2 linked regions of the Drosophila melanogaster genome follow. The protein of the gene in region 1 interacts with the protein of each later gene in a pairwise test. Each region holds a gene or a part of one and is shown on either strand. Other genes may lie near its edges. The genes, in order: HipHop and cav.

What was found.
Region 2: the proteins of HipHop (region 1) and cav interact in binary tests that used the Drosophila melanogaster proteins (3 or more experiments, as listed by UniProt).

What each region holds. Positions count from the first base shown.
Region 1 is NT_037436.4:18,819,349-18,823,137, forward strand, and holds HipHop (HP1-HOAP-interacting protein), read left to right. Parts: upstream 1-1,822; 5' UTR 1,823-1,958; coding exon 1,959-2,624; 3' UTR 2,625-3,005; downstream 3,006-3,789. Other genes in the region: Cat (catalase), read left to right, coding at 3,438-3,494. UniProt on the Drosophila melanogaster protein: Part of the HipHop-HOAP complex that recruits the MTV complex to form the terminin telomere-capping complex, which binds to chromosome ends in a sequence-independent manner and prevents telomere fusion.
Region 2 is NT_033777.3:24,219,801-24,224,334, forward strand, and holds cav (caravaggio), read left to right. Parts: upstream 1-1,730; 5' UTR 1,731-1,941; coding exon of another isoform or gene 1,942-1,953; 5' UTR 1,954-2,107; coding exon 2,108-2,125; exon of another isoform or gene 2,126-2,165; intron 2,166-2,441; exon of another isoform or gene 2,442-2,542; coding exon 2,543-2,674; intron 2,675-2,735; coding exon 2,736-3,623; 3' UTR 3,624-3,728; downstream 3,729-4,534. Other genes in the region: twin, read right to left, coding at 165-351, 415-543, 732-763, 1,028-1,047; Spps (Sp1-like factor for pairing sensitive-silencing), read right to left, coding at 3,949-4,534. UniProt on the Drosophila melanogaster protein: Part of the HipHop-HOAP complex that recruits the MTV complex to form the terminin telomere-capping complex, which binds to chromosome ends in a sequence-independent manner and prevents telomere fusion.

The sequences.
Region 1 (3,789 bases):
CCTCTTTGTTGTGGTCCTAAGTACCGTTTACTGTTATATATTTATTGTAAACTGGCTGTGGTTGTTGTAATTCCTTGCAGCATTGCTTTTCACTTTACTTCACTAATGCACACACACACCACACACTCTCATATATGCAGAGATAGAAATGGGGAGACCATACACGAACGAAATTTCTCGTGCAGCAACTTTTTCTCTCTTTGCTTTCTTTCTTCTGCTTTATCTTTTTTTATTTTGTGTAAACCAGTATTTTGTGCCTTCTTTCACTTGTATGCTTTACGATGTTGTTGTTGTTGTCGTTGTTGTTTTATTCAAGAAATTGTTGAATAACGGTTTCTGTTAGCCGCTATGCTTTCGTGTTTGTTGTTGTTGTTGTCTTGAATTTCACTTTGCTTTCGCGTTTCACGCATTGCTGCTGCTTCTTCTTCTACGTCGCCGTCGTGTTGCTCCTTTTCGTATTTTACATTTTTTTTAGCCGTGGGAAACCTGTCCAGCAGCCTTAAAGCCGCTGTTTTTGTTGCTTTTCGTTTTTTGGCTAAACATTTTCATTGCTAAAAGAGCACTTGGGACTTTTATTTTCATAATTCATTTATCGCGCTGTAGTTGTGCGTATATTTATAAAGATAAAAGCAAGCAAACAGCGCAGCAAAATTCCAAATAAATAAAATTATTGTTGCTCAACGTTCATTGCCACACACACTCACACACGGCCAGACACTCACCAACACCAGCAGACAACGAGTCAGACACACACACATGCATACACTTTTTTTGGGGCAGCGTTTTTTGTTGTTTCAAGGCAACTTTATTTCTTGACTCTTTTTTTTGTATTTTCCTCCCCCGCAGGGAAACAAAGAAAATTTCACTTGTCTCGCACACTCACACCACGAAGCGCGCACACAGACACGGTGCCTTTCCCAAAGGAAATATTATTTAAAACATTTATTGACACAATTACAAGGTTTTTGCTTCTTTCGCTCGACGTTGTTATTGTTGTTGCTGTGGTTGTTGCCGCTTGCTTGCTTTTTTCTTGCTGTTGTTGTTGGCCTACTTTGTGTGTTGTTGCTGTATTTTTTCTCTCCTCTTTTTTTTGTTGCTCCAACTTCTCTCCTTTGCTTTGCTTGAAAAAATTTCACACGCGCCGTTTCTTTTTTTGTCTCTTCTCTTTACGTAAATTAGATTGCCATTTGAAGTTATCTTTCGAGGGATTGCACTTGGTATTAAGCTATATTATACATATACGTGTTGCACTACATTATATTTATAAAAATTATGTGTATTCGTTTGAAATTTTAATTGTGTTTTTATAAAAAGAAAATCAGACGAGACGAACGTATGAACAATGAATGACAAAAAATAACCTGGGTTTAATGGGCTAACATTTCGCGTCCAACAGCACGCTGAGTGCTGTTCGGCGAGCAGCTGATTTTGCAGTTTTCGGTATTTTCAGTATTAGTTGGTATAATTACAGTTTGATTTGAATGTGGTTTTAGGGTTTTAAAAAATGTGTTTTTAAACTCATTTTAATTGATACAACCAACAGAAGAAATACAGTCAATTTTCAAACTAACTGATATAACATAAGTATTTCATGAACATCGAACACGCCAATAATTAGATTATTGTCAATTTTAAACGAATAGTTTCTTCATATTAATTACTTAACTGGCATTACAATAAGCCACATTTAAATTGTGAGAAACTGTGACCATGTCAGTATGTTTTTAGATTTTATAACATTTAAAAAAATTGAATTTGTTTATTAGTTAAATGCATTTTATTTTACGCCTAATTTTGGTATATTTCAGCAATCCATATGTGGTCACACTATATGTTTCCAAAGTGGCGGGACAATTGGCTTCATGTTTCGTTTTGTTGCGTTTGGAAGTTAAAATGCCAGTGTAAGCATTGTTTTGTAAGCCCGAGTTGTGGAGAACTAGGTGCATGATCTATTCCAGATGGCCTCCATTGACGAGGGCTCGCGCGTTGAGCGGAGATTCTGCGCAGTCGGCAACCACACGCTGCGGAAGCCGTATCGCCAACTGAACAACAAATATTTGGTGCGCTTCGCCTGTTTGCTGAACAGCGAAATTCGGGCGGGCAACCTCATCTGCTGCAAGTGCTACACGGACCTGGTGCGACTCTACCGGAAGAAGAACGACAATGCCAAACGGCACAAGATGGCCAGGGAGACTGCCGCGAGCATTACGGACGTCAGCGGCAGTCAGTCATCGTCGCACCAAAGTGCGCCCTCTTTGCATGTCTCTGGCCAAAGTTCCGAATTCGGTGCCTCATACAGTGAGGGGGGCATTGTGACTCCCGATGAAGAGCTGTGCTCCCACAGAAGCTTAAGTCAAGATTCAGACAATGTGCCCACTACCAGCGCTGCAGCGATCCAAAAACGCCAGCTTGCGAGGGCAAACCTAATGGTGAAACCATCGCAGAGGCTGAGCTTGGCCCAGACTACTCCGGATTGCGACGACTACGACCCCAACTCGAATCTCAGTTTGAACGCCGTGAATGGCACGCGACTGCCGCACATTCAGCCGATTCCAAAGAGGCGCCCGACCGTCCTGGACAAGCAGTCCATGGATATTTACTTGATGGGAACCACAGGTGGTTAGGTGATTTTTTTAAGTTGTGACTAGAGAACAAGATACATATGCTAGTTGATGCTAGTTTCTAAGTTTCATTTAATTAGATATTTTTGTACGCTAAAATAAAGAAAGACAGAGATGTTAGCTTGGCAGGAGCCACAGAAAGATAGCCGCCATTTGGAGATTTCCTTGAAGTTTATAATTTTAACATGTTTAATGATATTTACATATATTATATGAATGAAGTACATTTATTTTAAAGGCACCACTGGAAGAGGTTCACAACTTAAGAAAAAAAGAGGCCATAGATATTTATTTGGCAGGAGCACCAATAGATAGCCGACTTAGTTTATAACTTAATGATGCCGACATTTTCATGAAATTAAAAAAATAAATAACTTAACAAACAGTTTAAATTTATTCACCTTTCTGGGCAGCAAATGGAGCGAAGGTACTATAAATTATCAATAATAAATCTTAATGGTGTTGGGACACGTTTTTAAATGGACAGTGCAAAAAAAAAACTTTGAAAATGAATTTCATACTATTTAAATACAAATATGAATAATAATGGATATTATGTAATATTTAAGCGATATATTTCCAACTATAATCGAAATATCGATATCTTCGGCCCACTCGACAACCCTGAGCAACAACAAGTACGTGGTGCTGGGCTATAAAAACAAATGGAACTGCGCTGCAGTTGCTTTAGTTGACAGAATTCTCGACGCAGTCACAGCAAAAAACCGAAGGCGGCTAGAAATCAACAACTTTCCAGTTCGAGTGTTTCTAAATTCTGGTTATCCCGTTGAGCAAATATCCTAAATTTTAAGCAAAATGGCTGGACGCGATGCGGCTTCCAATCAGTTGATTGACTACAAAAACTCCCAAACGGTGAGTGTGTTGGTGTGCGAGCGCGAGAGAGCGCAACTGCATGTGTGTGCGTGTGTGTGCCGGCAGGAAAATAAGAAAACAAGAAAGGCAAAAAAGACAAAAAGAGAAGGGAGAAGCATTGTACGAAATGAAATAAACAAAAAACAAGACAATTTCAGTAACGATTGCTATGAGCCTGTACTTTCCATTAATTCCATTAATTATTAAAATGCGAAAAACAACAAAGGCTTGTCCAACAAATGCCAGTAATGATGAAGTCGTTTCCCCAGAGTTCGAAGTTCAAAAGCCGCCTCTC
Region 2 (4,534 bases), on another chromosome or scaffold:
GGCTTAGTGAAAAGCATGGATCAGTGATCAATAGGGTCTGCGCCCAGACAGCGATTTCACAATAGATCAACTGCTAAGGGTGCAATAGAGTATGAGACATAATAATAGGACTAAAATACGATTTAACAACGTAAATCATGTCCTATGCCAACCCACAAACTCACCGCAACTGGATGAGCTCGCCGAGCTCTGCGGGAAGACTTCTTAGCTTATTGCTGGACAGGTCCAAAGTTCGGAGGCTGGTCAGCATGCCAACGTCTGCGGGCAATCGCAGCAGCTGGTTGTCGTTCAGGTAGAGGGCGGTTAGATGCTCAAATTCCCACAGCGACGGGCTGATATTGCGGACGCAGCCTGTAAACAGATGTATGGTAGAATTAATATGATATTTTTCGGGATTAAGTGTGTGATACCCACCAGTAATCTCTAGGCCACTCCAGTTCGTCTTCTTGCCCGCAGCTATGTCCTCCTGCGACAGAAAGATCTGCTGCCGCCGATTGGCGCTGTCGTATTTGTCTTTGTTACGAGACATTTTATAATGATTGCCTGTTCGGTATATATAGAAGAGAGTTATATTAATATATGTATAAGGTAAGAGATAACAAGTTAAAATCTGGAATTGTTTCAAGGAAGTTAGGGCTCATGTTAGGAGACAAAACCTCGCTTAGCAACAAAAATGAATGCTTTGAGTTTTAGCTTAAATGTATCTAGGAGTATTGGAATCAAATCATAACCTTTCATAATAACCGCCTGATGATAAGCGTCTCTGCAAAATATTAATAAAGTGGTTTCCATTATTATTTTGTATTAGTAAACAAAGGTGGGTCTGAGGTCCGGGTTTGGTTTACATATACAGCTAAGGTAAAACTAATAGCAGTTCTTAAACATTATTAATTAAAATTTAAGTACAAGGTAAAAGGTCGATATGGAAAATACCGCCAAACTCAATAGTTGGAGGATTTTAGGAAAAATCTTTATATTTTATTAATAAATAGCATTGGATATGTATTTTGGAACGTTGTCTATGCACCTTTTTTTAAAGATACACATATTAGGCTTTAAAGAACTGCTATTGGCTTTCGCACAGCTGCGGATGGTAAATTGTAAATCATAAATAAATGCAAACGAAAATGATTTTGGTAAGCGCGCGCAAAGTGCAAGCACCAACACACACGCACACACACGGACGCGTAGCACACACAGAAACACTATACAGTTAGAAAGAAGAATGGCGTGGGCGGGCAAAACAAGAAGAAGAAGGAAAGCCGTATGTCGCATATTGAAAATCGTGGGTATCAGGAACCTGTGTAGGATTACCTGGCTCAGTTCACTATTCCTAGGAAGTCACCTCAATCGGAAATTCTGGCTCAAATTTACTCGCCGTCTCTCCTCGTTTCGCGCGCTCTTTTCGCTCTCCGCCTGCACTTACTCGAGGATTTTGAAAGAAAAAGGAAGCCGCAGCTGGGGATTCAGCAATATTCGATATTCACTGTGAAATTTAACCGACTTCTACCGTTTTTGGTGCCTTTATTTGGGTCCTATATTTGTTATTTTATTATTTTGCTGCTTTTCGTTCGTGTTTGTCGGAACAGAAGCGACGATTCTGCTAATCAACCTATTCGTTTTGGATCGCTCTTTCTTCTGCTGGGCCTCTGCTTTTCATTTATTTATCACGCGACTCGCTTTCATCGTCGGTTCTTGTTTTTGTATACATGGTGAGCAGTCGGAGTTGCCACTCGGTTTTATCAGCGGACGGTATCACGGCAAGATTTGTCCAAAATGCGTGCTTATTCGTCCAACTGAAGTCCGGCCTAGTGTTCTGATAAAGTGTGAGACAACGTTTGTTTGTAAAAAGAACTACTCAAATGGGATTTCAGTCAAAACAAAACAAGAGCACATCACACACAAGACGCACACATACACACAAGACGCACACGCACACAGATGGTCAAAGAGGTGCAGGGCTGAAAATAAAAACACGTAGATATTTCGTACTGTTTGCTTTACTAGCCACTTTTTTCGGTCAATGCTTTTTGCTGAGGACTCGGCTTTCGACGCGATATATTTTATGTAGTTTAGATCTCTGGATGGACGATTTATTTGTGAATTTATGCTGCTGCTACTATGTGTAAACTTTCGTTCTTCGCTTTCCTTCGTTTTCCATTTCTCTTTTGTGCGCTGGTTTGGCGTACGCGGAAATGCCCACTTGCTGTTAATCGGCTATCGGAAAGAATTTGCAAGCAGGGGCTCCAACTAGCGTATTGAGAAAGTAGCTATATTTTGTATGACAGTTAAGACCCCTGTTTTTTGAATTGATATTTTTTATAGGATTGAAATCAGGAGCTTTGAATTATTAATTTGTAAAATAAAATGAGTTTATTTTGACAGCAAACGAAAATACTTAGCTAGAATCGAGCTAAACCATTAAAATCTGTAAATACTGACTAATCGATAACCTTACAGAGTTTCGATAGATCCATTAGCCGCGAATGCCCTTAAAAAGTTGTAATTTATTTAATTTAATGTTGCGTGTTTTTAAAAAAAGGTTAATATGTCGGGGACGCAAATGTCTGCCTTCCTGAGAAAGTATCTAGCCGACGAGGACAAAAAAATTCGTGCGCAATTCAAAGAAAGCGATCCTAACAACAAATTGATTCTATGGATGCACGAAAAAACGGTAAGACGCATTTCATTTTGTAAATTGAAATTGTATATTGTATAGTATCCTGTATTTGAAGAGAATAACCGAGGAGGACTTGGCACGCCCATACACCGAGGACGAGGTAAAGGAGCTTTGTCTACGCACCAAAGTGAAGGTTGATATGACCGCTTGGAATTGTCTGTGGGAAGCCAAAAAGAGGTTTGAAGCAAAAGGACGTTTTGTGAACAAGTCTGAGAGATTCATCAACCGAATGTATATGAAAGCGGTGCGCAGAAAGATGGTCCAACCGTATCCGGAGGAGTTTGTGGCCCAGCGAAGAGAAATAGTTGCAGCCGAGACTAAGAAGCAGAACATCAGCCGATTGGATAGATGGCAAAAGAAAAAGAGTCAAAACCTATCAGCACCAGAATCCTCTCCAGACGCTCATGCATCTTCTAATGACGCGGTGCAGAGCCACGAGGACCAAGCAAACACAAATCTTAGTTCACTGTCTCAAATGAACTTTCAAGTGGAAGCGATGGCTCCGCCAGGCGTGTCGTCATCTGATCTTAGCGGCATCGGAGACGATGAGGACGAACAGCAGCAGTCAGGATTTCAGGATGAGAACATCAACCGTCCAGAGACAGAGATTAATGAGAATTCGGTGAGATGTGATCCAATTAATTTAGGAAGGATGCGGACTGGATGTATAAATTCGCAAGCAAATAACAGTTTCCGGAATACGGAGTCTGATCCGGACTACTATATGTTTGGCACCCAATTGAGCACATTAGTACGACCCACGTCGACTCAAGAGCCTGACGATCAGGTAAACTGTCCAGAGACAGAGATGAATGAGAGCTGGGTAAGGTGTGATCAAATTAATTCGGAAAGCTTGTCGATTGGACCGTCAATTGATTCGGAAGGAACTATCACTTTTCAAAATACAGAATCTGAGCCGATCGACGTCACCTCAATAGCCTGATGTCCATATATTAAACTATATAAAGTTCTTCATTTATTGGTGTTAATTAATTAAAAACATGTAATCCCTAAAAATGTTATAAAATGTATAATAAAAATCTTAATTAAAATACGATGGTCGATTAAGCTATGTACACTAATCTAGGATGATCCGCAACCGGAGCTGTACAAGAAGGGTAAACATTTAAAATGCTCGCTTTTACATAATTACGCTATGTACAATTTATATATTGCTAAACCATGGTCCCATGGGGCGCGGCAGGGGGCGGTGGGTGCTACGGGAAGTGGTCAAACAAGAACTGTTCCATGAACAGCGACTCCGAATGCTAGTTGGACGAATTGTCGCCAGGCTCACTGACCGCAATTGTCATCTTCACTTCATCGCCACTGTCTAGTTCTGGATCCTCGTCATCCTCCTCATCCTCGCAATCATCCATATCGTCCTCGTCGAGCTCCTCGTCTTCGTCGTCCTCTTCGGTCAATTCATCATCCTCCTCGTCGTCCTCATCATCGCCGAAACTATCACCCCCGCCGCTGGCCTCCACAGTCGGCAGCTGAACGATCGTGGCCCCGCCCGGCGTCACAGTTGAGCCTGCAACCGTGGCCGCCACACTGGAGGCTCCACTGCCCGCCGCCGCTGAACCGCCGCCCGGAATCTCAATCGTCACAATGCCGTTCACCGTGCTAATGCTTTTCGGTGCATTGCCACCCTTGGTCTCCTGCTTGATGCTCAGCTCAATTAGCTCCACGCCAGAGCGGCTCTTAAAGTGCGTCTTGATGTGCTTCGACAGGTGATCGCTGCGCATGAACTTTTTGTTGCACTCCTGGCACTGGAAACGCTTCTCTCCCGTGTGCGTTCGTCGGTGGCGCTGCAGTTCATCGGAGCGGGTGAAGCGCTTGCCGCAAAACGCC